Linked DNA regions of Coturnix japonica. Each later gene encodes a partner of the first gene's protein in a complex. Links are inferred from orthologs where the notes say so. Each region holds a gene or a part of one and is shown in the gene's direction. Other genes may lie near its edges.

The links. Proteins that work in one complex are often made in the same cells at the same time.
Region 2: the proteins of CAB39 (region 1) and STRADA are in contact, whole or in part, in a crystal structure (PDB 3GNI), measured with the Homo sapiens proteins. The link is inferred for Coturnix japonica from reciprocal best matches to the Homo sapiens genes CAB39 and STRADA. Residues at the interface, in NP_001124321.1 of Homo sapiens: Leu26, Glu27, Lys28, Gln29, Tyr55, Gly56, Thr57, Asn58, Ala85, Asp86, Gln88, Leu89, Phe92, Glu93, Lys96, Arg107, Glu138, Leu141, Ile145, Ser176, Thr177, Phe178, Asp179, Ser182, Asp183, Glu221, Asn222, Tyr223, Val224, Arg227; in NP_001003787.1 of Homo sapiens: Pro64, Leu104, Glu105, Cys107, Ser108, Asn109, Val112, Gln116, Leu119, His120, Lys123, Leu124, Phe125, Asn126, Thr136, Phe137, Ile138, Asp140, Asn141, Leu143, Tyr185, Met189, His223, Gly224, Arg226, Val426, Asp427, Asp428, Trp429, Glu430.
Region 3: the proteins of CAB39 (region 1) and STK11 are in contact, whole or in part, in a crystal structure (PDB 2WTK), measured with the Homo sapiens proteins. The link is inferred for Coturnix japonica from reciprocal best matches to the Homo sapiens genes CAB39 and STK11. Residues at the interface, in NP_001124321.1 of Homo sapiens: Gln109, Gly111, Thr112, Lys196, Leu197, Leu238, Asp239, Arg240, His241, Phe243, Met246, Ile250, Val280, Ala283, Asn284, Pro285, Glu317, Gln318; in NP_000446.1 of Homo sapiens: Gln100, Arg103, Arg104, Glu165, His168, Ser169, Gly171, Leu201, His202, Pro203, Phe204, Ala205, Ala206, Asp207, Asp208, Phe234, Arg301, Ser307, Arg310, Lys311, Lys312.

What each region holds. Positions count from the first base shown.
Region 1 is NC_029524.1:4,200,519-4,204,075, reverse strand, and holds part of CAB39 (calcium-binding protein 39), read left to right. Parts: intron 1-999; exon of another isoform or gene 1,000-1,160; intron 1,161-3,323; 5' UTR 3,324-3,366; coding exon 3,367-3,480; intron 3,481-3,557. UniProt on the Homo sapiens protein: Component of a complex that binds and activates STK11/LKB1. In the complex, required to stabilize the interaction between CAB39/MO25 (CAB39/MO25alpha or CAB39L/MO25beta) and STK11/LKB1.
Region 2 is NC_029542.1:2,243,542-2,247,898, reverse strand, and holds the start of STRADA (STE20-related kinase adapter protein alpha), read left to right. Parts: upstream 1-1,503; 5' UTR 1,504-1,536; exon of another isoform or gene 1,537-1,611; 5' UTR 1,612-1,655; coding exon 1,656-1,691; exon of another isoform or gene 1,692-2,242; intron 2,243-2,684; coding exon 2,685-2,742; intron 2,743-2,970; coding exon 2,971-3,023; intron 3,024-3,605; coding exon of another isoform or gene 3,606-3,634; intron 3,635-4,357. UniProt on the Homo sapiens protein: Pseudokinase which, in complex with CAB39/MO25 (CAB39/MO25alpha or CAB39L/MO25beta), binds to and activates STK11/LKB1.
Region 3 is NC_029543.1:2,065,062-2,069,382, forward strand, and holds the start of STK11 (serine/threonine-protein kinase STK11), read left to right. Parts: upstream 1-1,467; 5' UTR 1,468-2,827; coding exon 2,828-3,117; intron 3,118-4,321. UniProt on the Homo sapiens protein: Tumor suppressor serine/threonine-protein kinase that controls the activity of AMP-activated protein kinase (AMPK) family members, thereby playing a role in various processes such as cell metabolism, cell polarity, apoptosis and DNA damage response.

The sequences.
Region 1 (3,557 bases):
CCCTTCTCATTAATAAAAGCAGTCATCCAAACTCTCCTCGTGTGAACAAAGCAGCAGGCTCTAGCTGAACACTTAATGTACCACAGTCTATTTTAAGGGAAGCAAGAGTAATACCATGTAATACTGTGAGCCCTAAAATAGAACAAGAAATTAAGGTTAGCATACCTGGCTGTTTCACAACGTGGGCAAGGAGATTTTTCTGTACAGCACTTGGGTAGCATTGGCTGAAAGACCAAGAAGGCAGCATGCATGTTAGAAGGCATTAAGCATGACACGGCCAGCCATCCTGCAGAGGTGTTGGTGTGGCCTCCCCTGCAGTGTACTGTGCAGTTCTGGGCTCCATGACCTAACAAGGAGCTTAATTAGAAACAGGAGTGCGTGCTTCTTACAGCATGCTTCATTTAAAGCAAAACCAAAGGTTCCCACTGCCGAGTAACCATGGCCTGTATTGTAACATTTGTACTATTATATGGGCAGCATGGTTTCTTACTCTTCACATAAGAGAAAGATCCCAACTGAAAGAGAAAAGACTCTGGGCTACTGCATCTATGTTTTGAATATTGGTGAAATGAAAGGCATGCCTGAGGAGTCCAGGGACTTGTAAAATCCTGCCCATGGTCCCTTCCAACAAACAGCTGAAGGCAGGGAGCTCTGGGAAGGTGAGGGAAAGCAAAGGAGCCCGGCAGAGCACCGAGCCATCCATGGACTTGCTGCAGCTTTTGGAGCACCTTTGTAAAGCTACAATTAAAACTTTGTAAGGAGTTCACAGGAAATCCAGGTGCTGGGGATGTGAAGCAATTACCATGTGACATGGTGTGAGGTCTGTTCTTCAGTTATTCACAGAAAGTGTCATTTGATGTTGTTTCCTTTTTTTTTCACTCTGCAGATGTGGGTGGTGGCAGCTCCTTCTGATCTCACACAGATATTGGCATTGTCTATTGTTGCAGGGTGTTGGTGTGGCTTTGCTGGGCTGAGGAGGGAACAGCTGGTGTGTGTTCTCAGATCCGCATTAAGCACATCTCTGTGAGACAAGAGGTTGCCTGGCTTTTCTTGGCAGGATGGACACAGGTCTGTCAGTAGAGTTTTGCTGCAGGGTTGGCTGGATCTTCAGTCTTGAGGCCTCAGAGGATGTTTCTGACAGTGCTGCCGCATTCCCTCTGGTAATACAAGTGGAATAGAAATACTATTTATTCTGTTATCTGCAATAAATTAAATACCTTGAAGCAGAATGCCACCATTGGTAATGGAGGGCGTGGATTGCTTTCTTCTTTGCCTTGTTTTCTAAATTGCTTATGAGAAATTATTCAGAAACATACCTAATTTGGGAACAATGCTTAGTATAAACGTCTGCTATTATTAATCGATTATCTTCTGATAGATCTGCTAGTGGATAAAGTTGTTTATGTCTCGTGCATACGATTTATGCCGACGCTGGTACATTTCATAAGTCAGTGCAGGGCTATTTTTAATTTGAAGAAGCAGTTAAGCAGTCTCTGGAGGGAAGTCCCATTTTGCAAGCCTAGACACTGGGCAGATCTTAAGAATAGATATTTGCTGTTGTTCTTAGTATGTTACGTCTGTCATCCATGTTGACTTTTAGATTAGAAGCGATGTAGTTGTGACCAAGGAATTACTGTTCTTCCATTCACATGTGATAAAGTTGAGGCATAAAATCCTCTTGCCTAAGGAGTGATGTGTGGTTGGTTTATATCTCCTAAGGAATCTGTCCGGTGTTTGTAGTTTTGTTTTTACAACCTGTTGTTACTGCTGAGAGCACAGCAGGTATCTGTGATCTGGAGAAGACTGGAAGTATTTGGTGGATGGATCTTGCAGCTACCTTCATGCTGTTATTTTTTCCTTTCATCTGCAAGTATTCCCATTTAAAAACAACCCAACTTAGACCTTTTGTCAGCCGGTGGCAGGTGTGAAATGGTGAAGGCAACATCTGTGCAACTGCTTTCCTGATGCAGGTTTTTATGGATGCTTTCTTGGCAAAGGGTTGGGTTACTTCTGTCCTTCATCTTTTAACTGCCGTCCTTGGGCCAGCCCAAATTGCTTGCGTTAAAAATCGGCATAACTCAGGAGTAGTGTAAAATCAATCTTTTTAATTCTCGTGTAACATGATTGGAGCGGATCAGGTTTAATAAAGTTCACAGCAAATGAGCCAATATTTGAATCAAGGATCAAAGTACTTGGTGTTAGATAAGAAACTTCAAGGTTATGATTGGCTCGCTAATAACCTTGCTGGTGTTGTCTGAGTGCAGAACTTCATCATTTCAGGCTAATATTCCTTCTTTGTTACGACACTTATCTGTTCTCTGTCAGCTCTGACTGGCATTTGCGTCCAGCCCGAGCAGCGCTGGCAACATTTTGAATGCAGGATTTCCTGTTCTTCACTGTCTAGATTAGAGTTCTAGAAGTGCTTTCATTTGTAAGAAGTTTTTATTGTTGTTAAAGTGGAAGCATATGTGTTCAGTAACAAAAGCTTTTGTACGCTGATTTATATTAATAATATTTGTCTATTTTGTACACAGAAGTGAATATATATGTATATATGTAAATATACAGAGGAACAAATGTACTTGGTTGCAGAAGCCAAGTATTATAGTGAAGGACAATTGCTACCATTACATTTGAAAAAGGTGGATTAGATGTTTAGTTTTAATATTTCCTTGTGCCTTCTTTAAGCCCTTGCTGGTGATGACAAAGTTAGCTTCCCATGAAACGAGTCAGGGAGAGGCAGTATTTCAGAATGAAATTACATCAATATAGGCACGAGAAAATCAGGGTATAGCAAGTGTTGTGAGCTATGTGTGAGCTGCTGCCTGCAGGCTCACCTGCACTGAGCTCTTAGCTCCTGCACTAAGTAGGCCTTGCTGTCAGCTTTGCTTTTGTTGTGGAATGAGTATGGATGAAAGTATGTACCTGGACAGTCATTGCAGTGCAGCTGAGGCACAATGCTTTGTGTCAAAAACCTAATATAAAAACATATTTTGCTTGATGACATTGATTACAACAACTTATATGTGTTAGTCTCCCCTGCATGGGGCTCTTGTACCATGTGTGGCTTTGGATATGGTTAATGTACTCTTCAATTTCTTCCTGTGACATAAAGTAATTATTTTAATGTGAGTAATAATTAATTTCTATATTTTGGAATCAGAAGCACAGTTAGCATGTAGATTTGCAATGGCAGACTCTAGTTTAACTGTCAAGGGTGGTTATTCCATACATAAATCCTTTGCTGAGTTCTCTTCATGTGTGTTGTTACAGTGGCCTCATGCATCTATTTATGACATGCCTTTTTCTCCCTCCTTTTCCAGGTGAAGCAGGAGCTGTAGAAGGAAGACCTGGTGGCTCGCAACCATGCCGTTCCCTTTTGGCAAATCCCACAAGTCTCCTGCAGACATAGTGAAGAACCTGAAGGAAAGTATGGCAGTTCTAGAAAAGCAGGATATATCTGACAAGAAGGCAGAAAAGGTATGGATGGGGCTTTCAAGTTGTTAAACATTGATTAAATGGAAGAAAACAAAGAGGGAATTTACAGCTCTTTGCTC
Region 2 (4,357 bases), on another chromosome or scaffold:
TTTTAAAGGCACAAAACATAAAGCCTTCCATACACAATATGGATACTTCAGGGATTTAAGCCCAGTAGAACAAGAGTTATATTTCTTTTTCTTTACAAATAAGGTACCGGTTCACCTGTAGGCATGATAGGTAACATAGATGGTTAGATGGAACGGGAGTGGAGTGTGTGAGTGTCGTTTCCTACTTGTGGTTTTGAATGCTACGACCTTAATACAGTGTAAAATGTCAGCATGGTGGTTCTTTAGGAGCGCATGGTGAGTTAAGCAGCTTCAAGTAGCCTCCCTGGAATATTTTAACTGTAAAAACTTGCCTCAAGAACATTTCTCCTGGTCTTAGCAGCTGCTGCCTCATTCACTTCAGCAAGAAGCTCGATTCAGTGGAGTATCTGCAATTGCCAATTTCCCCAAGAAAGTAAAAACGTTCCAGTGGACATCTTGTCTTGTCTGATAAGAGTATGAGTGTGTGTGGGGGGAAGTGAATGCCCTTGTGCAAGCACTTCATTGAGAGAGCTGTGCATTTTATAAATGCTTCTAGTCCAGAAGGTGTGACGATATTGTTGCTGTGACAGACTTTTTACAGTTCTGTGGGGAAAACAGTGTCTTGCATTTCCTTGTACAATGATTTGTACAAACTTTGTTCTTAGGCAATAAGAATGAGCTGCTGTTGAAACAGCACTTGCTTCAAGCTCTTGTTCCAGCGTGGGGTACTTCACGTGGATTTAAATGCAAAAGTCTGTAACCTGATCCATGCAAATATGTGAAATTTTATAATGGTTGGTAAAAGTTAATTTAAAACCAAAACCGATGTAGATTATGTGAGATTTTAGCACTATTTAGCTTTAAAGATTTAATATGATCGTGTTTCAACAATTTCTTTGAGAAGAAATATTGGTTCGTGCTCTCTTGAAGCGGACAGCTTTCCCTCAGTCCCACGGCAGCTAATTTTGTAATACGAACATTCAATGAACTACCTAATGAAGAGTAAAGGATCATTGAAACACTCTACCTGTCGTCTTTGCTTTGGACTCCATGTTCCTCTCAGCTAATGGTATATAAGTATCTCAGGTGCCCTGGGGAGGGCTCAAGGCATATTTTGTGTTGAAGAGCAGTTTTTTTTTCCCAGTCACTACAACTTCCTCAGCATTTTATAGGCATTACAACTTAACATGACCTCAGCAGTGGCCTGAGGACAGTGATGTGAATTAGCCTGTCGGGTGAGAGGTGGGAATGGAGTAAGGGCCTGCAGCCAGAGATGGATCTCTCATCACCAGCTGGAGATGGTATAGATGGAGGCTTTTCCTCTTGGAGCGAAGGCAGCCGCCGTTCTGCGCTGCTTACGGGCTGAGAGACCTCAGCCACTCCCTGAGGAGATCCAACATGGCGGCGCCCTCTGCTTCCCGCCTTTCTCGTGCGTGAGCGCGGGCTTGCGAGATGACGTCAAACGTGTGCGCCGCGTCGTCGTGAGTCACGTGGAGGCGTGCTGACGTCACACGCAGCGTCTCTACCGGTGCGAGTAGGCCGCAGCCTGAGGAGAGGGTGAGGGTGAGGGCTGAGGGGGGAACCGGGCCGGACCGGGCCGGACCGGGCCAACCGACCGCTGTCATCCTTTAGGTTGCCTGCCCTTCATTGAGTGAGGTAGCGCTATCGCGGAGTCCATGTCTTTTCTTGTAAGTAAACCCGAACGGATTAGGGTGAGTGTTAAACGGCGTCCAGCTCCCTCTAGCCGGTAAACCGGGCCGCGGCCTGTTGGGGGCCGGATGGAAAGCACCGTGTTGTGGGTCACGGGAGCCGCAATAAGAGCCGCCTTAAAGTCACGGTGCGAACGAGGGGAGCTGGGCCCGGCCCGGTACCGCCTCTATAGTAACATGTGTGTCTCCCCGAACCCAACGGGTTCCAAACGGGGCGCTGCTCATTTTTGCGTTATAAAGCGTCAAAGCGATCGGTGTCACGGGAGAAAAGCACTTGGAACGACTGACAGCAGCGGCTGCGATCACTGTGATGGACGGGCACTGTCACCCACCCAGCGGTGCTTTCCAGGGCCGCCCTTTTGCTTGCATTCAACGCCTCTGGCTGGTTTATCCGTTGTTTTATTGCCACGTTGTAACACGGGGCTGTTGGTGATTTGCTTCGTGCTAACAGCACTGCGAGCCTGAAGCTGCTTTATCTGTTCTGCTGCTCTTTGGATCACGGAGTCAAATAGCGCTGCACAAACAGTGCTGGCTCTGACATTCAAGCATGAATTCTGCAAGAGAACAACACTTATTGCAATGCTGTTTTAATTCTGCACCTAAATAGCACGTAGCCCAAATGCTTCACGTCCTCCAAGGTGTTGTCTCTATGTCAAAGCACTGATTTATGCACCCAAACGTTTATATCTTTGTATAAGGGAGCATTGCATGCTTGTTCTTTTTGCTCTTTGTGCACGTGTGAAAGCTCCTGTTTGAATAATGCACAATGAACCTTACTGTAAGTGCATGCCATTCAGGAGATGCAGTGTGCATGCTGCATGTGTGCCATCCTAATGGCAAACAAATAATATCCTTGTCTATGAGGTGGTTGTAACTGATGGGTTATAGACACGATAACGCTGTGTTATGATTCTGCTTTTAGGGGTGTGGGAGGAAAGGGGGGTGGTTTGTCCTTAAAGGAAGTAACTCCTTATTGGGGGATTTCTTTTCTCTTAGCGGTGGGTGTCCGAAAAGTTCATTGTTGAGGGCTTAAGGGAGTTCGAACTATTTGGAGGTAAGTTTTGCTCTCGTTAAGTGACCTTGATAGAAATGCCTTATTGAAGCCTTATTGTAGCCTGTTAATTTTGTAGAAGATATCTATCTAGTAATAAAAGAGATGGATACATCCATCTGTAGCACCAAATCTGGTTATTCAGGCTGACTAGCAATGCAGAGTTAACACAGATGCACCCAACAAGTCATTTGGAAATCAATTCCACACTGATGGCAGTTCTGTTTTCAGGCACTGCAGTCTGGTTTTGTTGGGTGAAAGAAAAGAAAGAGAGATTTGAGAAGGTAAATGGAGTAAGAATGAGTCTGAAACTGTTATTGAGAAGGTGAATGGAGTAAGAATGAGTCTGAAACTGTTATTGAGAAGATAAATGGAGTAAGAATGAGTCTGAAACTGTTCTGATGGCTCCCCAGCATTGTCTGTATGGGAGCTGATTGGTTTCTGGTCTGCTATATTCTACTAGGATGCAGAAATGTTGATCAGTGACTTAGTATAGGAAAGATATATATATATATAGAGAGAGAGAGATCTTCAAGCTTCTGCTTCAAATAACTAAACACCAGATTATTCTGTATTCAGGCTAAGTTTGTGTGTCATTCCTTATCTATCAGTTTGCTTTTATGTTGAACGTAAACAGCAGCCCTACTGAATCCCTTTGATTTTCATTCTTGTGCCACTGTTTGATTACTTGTAATGCAGCAGCCTTATCTGTAAGTGAAATATTTGTATAAGGATATATATTTGTAGCTCTTTGGTGTCGATAAGTGTGGGGTTATGTACTGAGTTCTCATCCTTATGTTCCAACTATATTTTGGATGGGTGTCTGTTGAACACAACTTGGTGAACAATGAATTTCTTTACTCCAGAGCAGCCTCCGGGTGACTCTAGGAGAAAAGTAAGTGGCGTTTGCAGGCTGTGGTGCTGTGGTTCATTGCATGGAGATTATCCTTGTGGAAGTTTGATTTTCTTTTTTTTCCTTTTGACCTTAGTTTCTATTACTTCATCTCTATACGTAGCTCTGCAAGCGTGGAGATGGGTTTCACCCTGGCATGGAGGTTTTGGTGTATGGTTTGCAAACATAGTGACTGGTTTGGAAGTTGGAACTTCCCCTCTTGGATTAGTGGTAGGGGTTGGTCCCCTCCACCCTCCTGCCCAGCCAAGAGTTTCTGTTTTGAGATTGTGAAGGTCTGATTTTTGAGTGATGCCCATCTCTGAACTGGTTCAGAATAAATGGATGAAGTTTGCTTGCAACGCTTCTGAAAACAGCCCCAATTTATGATTATTTTGGCCATTCTGAACCATATTCCCTTCTGAACACTTGGATTTTGATTTCCTTTATTTCCTCTGGGCAGCAGCTACATCAGAGGCTCCAACATCAGAAGCAAGTATGTAACTTTCAGTCTGATGTGACCTGACCTCCTGTTGCTTGGTCTTCAGAGCCATTTCTCTGCACACACACAGAGCTTTGCCTCCTAAAACCTAAAGCCACTTGTCAACATGGAATCTCTGCTCAAAACCAGACAGCCAGAACGGAGCTGCTGAGAACTTTGCCTTTGCTTTTTGTTCTGCAGGCCCTGATGACACACAGCGATGAGCAGTGCTCAGAGAATAATGTATT
Region 3 (4,321 bases), on another chromosome or scaffold:
TGCTGCCCAGAGATGGAGAGGGGTTCATGGAGCCCAGTGCTGGTTTCCCTCTTTGTTCTGCTGGTGTTCACTTGTGTGTATGGCCCTGTATGCTGGCGGGCTGCTCTTACTCTTTAAATAAAAGTAGAGATTCCCACAGAGCTTAATCACTTCCAGGAGAAGGGATTAAAACACCCCTTAGTGCAAAAGTCAAAAGAACAAAAATCTCAACTTCTTCCAATGAACAGGAATCTCAAGGAAACCACCGTGTGGGTCATATTGGAAAAGCTTTTCCTAATGTTTTCAACCGTTTTATTCTAACATCGTCCAAAAGCAGAAGCCAACAGCTGGAGGTGATGCCATACCCAAGGACACAGCCTCTGGGAGCAGCTGATTGAAGGCAAGCTCTGCAAGGTTGTGGATGTGAGGAGCTCCAGAGCAGGGACACTGCAGGGTCATGGGCATGAGAATGAAGCTGGAACACACGGGGGCCCTGCAGGACTATGAGCTCTGCTGTGCACTCGGCCAGGAGGTGGCAGCTCTTGCTGCTCTGTGGTGTTTCTTGAGACGCTTCTGCGAGGATCCAGCAAGGAGAAAGACAGCAACAACACCTTTGTGAGACAGAAAACAGCCAAAAGGTCAGGATGACAGACCCTGCAGACCCTGCAGAGTGACTGCAGCACTACCAGCACCTCTGGTTTGAGAATGTCAGTTTGTGAGGACGTACCTGTGGTAACTGCAGGGTCTGGCGGGGTGGGAGGCTCAATAGCTGGGTCCTTCCCAGCTGCTGTGTGGAATGGAGGACACTGCCATGAACACGAGGATGGGCAGCAGAGAACCATGAGCCTCTTGTGACTCATTCAAGCCTCTCCTGCCTTTATTCCTGGTCAGAAGCAGAGGTTTATAGCACACAATGCAGAGCAGAAAGCAGCTGCTGCCTTCCAGCCTAATACAGGCCTCATTTCACCTCTGTAGGCCTATAGGTACCCTATATATGTGTTACCCTATAGGTAAAGGCAGCACCGAGTCGTTTACCATCATTAACGTCCAAGAGCACAGAGAACGTTCAGCCTGATGGCTGCTGGGCTCCTCACTGCGCTGAGCAGCCCATAGGGCCCCATTAAGCACCTTTAAGGCCGGGCCGTACAGCAGGCCCCGCCCGGCCCGACTGAACAGGCCATAGCAACCACTTCCCCTTCACCCTTCGCCCCCTATGACTGACAGCTCTCTCAGCCTATCACGACGCTCCGTCCCACACCCCGAGTGAAAGGGCGGGTTGTGAACCAACCGGAAGCGAAAGCCTCCTAACCGGCCCCGCCTTCTCGTGGCATGATTGTAGCCAATCAGAAGGCGAGCTCGCGGAGGCGGGGCCGGCTCGGTAGCCAATGGGAGAGGACGTTGGTCGCCAGGGAGGCGCACGGCCCGGGGGGGGGGCAACGGCGGGATCGCGGCGGGGCCGGGCGGGGGCGGGAGGTAAACAAAATGGCGGCGGCGTGCGCGATGCGGCGGCGGCGGAGAAGGGGGTAACGGGGTTAAAGGGGATAAAGGGGCGCGGTTCGGCTGGAGTGGGCCCCGAGGCGAGTCCGTAGGGGGCAGAGCGGGGACGGTATCCGGTGGGGATCGCTGTGAGACGATTGGACGCCTAAGGGAGAGTGGAGCCGGGGCCCGGCCCGGTTTGAGGCCCGGTAGCGGGGAGGGAGGACGAGGCCTATAGGCCGCCCCGCTGCCTTCCCTGTGTTGGCGGGGCCTAACGCTGACACAGCGGTGCCGGTGCACGGGGAAGGGCCTGTCGTGGGCCCCTCCCAGCTCACGGAGCCCGGTGGTGGTACCGGTAGCGTCCTCGCGGCCCAGCAGCGTTTGGAGCCTTCTGTTGTCACCTCTCTCCATCCCCGTGTCCGTGCTGTTACCTCCGGCCCGGCTGACACCTGTAGGGTTGACCCGTGAAGTGTCGGTTCCCCTTCCTTCACTTCCTTCCTTTGAGTAGGGAATGGGGTGCAGGGGGCGGCTGGCACAGGGGGGTGTCGCTTCTTGAGTTGTTGTGCTCCCTGTTGTGTCTGTGCAGCTCTGGGGTTTGGCTGGCTGCCGGTGGGGTTTGGTTGTCCAACACCCGCTGACCCTGGGAGCAGCAGCAGCGGTGACACATCATGTGCCAGGCGCAATCCAGGTGGCTGAAGGATGCCCCTGGGAGATCTCAATAGGCACCGAAGGCCTCAAACTTTTGTAGGCGTGAAAAGCGAAGAAATTAGAATTGTCGCTGAAAACTCTTTCAAAGAAACTTGGTTCCAGCTTCCAAACGGCTGAAAAAAAAGCCCCCAACGTCTGCTCTAGTGCTTGGAAGGTGAAGGCTGCAGGGCAGGAGCGCTTTCCCCCGCCGTCCTGCTGGGAGCTGGTGCCTGTGATTTACTGGGAATGGAAAGCCACGAACGAGACTTGGCTGTGGTTTGTTTTATGTGATGGTCTGAGGTCCCCCAGGATGACCTAGCACTTACCTTCACAAACTGGGCCAAGCCAAAGGCCGAAGTGACTTGAAAGAACCCTAGTGGTGGGACCAGGCCAGGAGCAAAGCGAGTCCCAACCTGATTGTGTCTGATCAGAGCTATATATTCTTCTTAAGAGACCCGTTACTGGAGCAGACCTGGATCTTTTAGCATCCAATTGAGCTGGAAGCGGCTCATAGTTCGTTTTGTTCTGTTGTTTTTGGCTTTGTTTTTTGTTTTTTAATTAATGTTTGTACAATCTTCTGGATGTTTTTTTTTCGAGAAGGAGTAAAAGGGAGTGTTGGAAAACAAACAAACAGGATTAAAACCCTGGGAGCTTAAGGAAGACAGGTTAAAGAACTTAATCCAGGATGGATATGCAGGAGCCTCAGCAGCTGGGTATGTTTGGAGAGAGTGAGCTGATGTCTGTGGGGATGGACACTTTTATCCATCGCATCGACTCGACTGAAGTCATCTACCAACCACGGCGGAAAAGGGCCAAGCTCATTGGCAAGTACTTGATGGGAGACTTGCTTGGAGAAGGATCTTATGGCAAAGTCAAGGAGATGCTGGACTCTGAAACCCTCTGTAGGAGAGCTGTGAAAATTCTGAAGAAGAAGAAGCTACGCCGGATTCCCAACGGGGAGGCAAATGTGAAAAAGTGAGTAAATATATACGTAGCTTTATGTTTTGGAAATGTTTCATCATAAGGTGTAGGTATTAAGGAATGTCCTCCTTCCTCAGCTGTGTGGCTGAGGGCTCCTAACCTTGTCCTGGGGGCAGCTCCTTGCACTGAATGGGAGTGCAGTAGCACTGGGCAGTGTCTGTGTGCCCAGGAGGGGCTGTGCTCTCCAACTCTTCACACACTGATTGCTGCCACCCACGTCAGTGCTGGGATGCGATCCCATGCATTGTGGGCATACCAAGCCTTGGCTTTTTATTCTTGGGTTCTCTTCTGGCTAATGAGTTTAGGAAGCGATTCAATGCTCTTTTCAGTTCGTTTCTGCAGCTGTAAAATAGAGACAAGGCTTGTCAACCTCTTTTCAGTGACTCAAGATCTGTGCTTGGAAGGTTTTCCAAGTGCCAGTTACATACTGATTAGTCAGGGCACAAGTAACTAATTAAAACATTCTGTGGGGAGAAGCCTGGTGTTATGCTTCATTTGCAGGACTCGTTAGGTGGAACTTTCCCTTTCAGCAGCATTGTGCCCTGCACACGAAGACCTCCTCGCAGCCTGTTTCCCACAGCAAGCTGTTTATTACAGCCCTGAGAGATGGCTGTTTATCTGCTGGGAGGGGAGAGCCTCCTGCAGCCGCAATGGTTTGTACAGGCTTATCTCATAGCAGGAGGGAGGACTTGGGGGGGGTGTTTAGAGGACTCTTGTGCTGCGACGTGCTGAGCGCAGGGCTCTGACCCAGCAGAGTCTTGTTTCTGTTTCTCAGTTTGGTTTGAGTTCGTGAGCTCAGCTGTGAGATACTTCACGTCCTGTACCTTGTGTCAGCTCCTGGAGTTTGCCTTCTAACCTTCAGTGACAGGCATAGTGACAGAACAGGCACAGGGCTCAGCGCCGGGACCTCCCTTTGCTGGCTCGAGTTCAGAATAAGAGTGAACTGCTGGTTAATGTGTAATGAAATGTTTCTTGTTTTTCTGGTACAGGTATGGGCGCCTTGTTCCATCCCTGCCCCTTTCCTTCTATCCAGAGCTCTGCTGTGAAGAGGGAGATTGTTTCTTATTTATTGGGACTTCACTTTTTTCTCCTGGTAGTGAAGAAATACTTCCAAACACGAGGGGGGATGTTGATGTCAGGACTATGGTGCTGGTTCTGAGTCCCAAAGTGAACCCTGTGGAAGTTTTATTCATACACA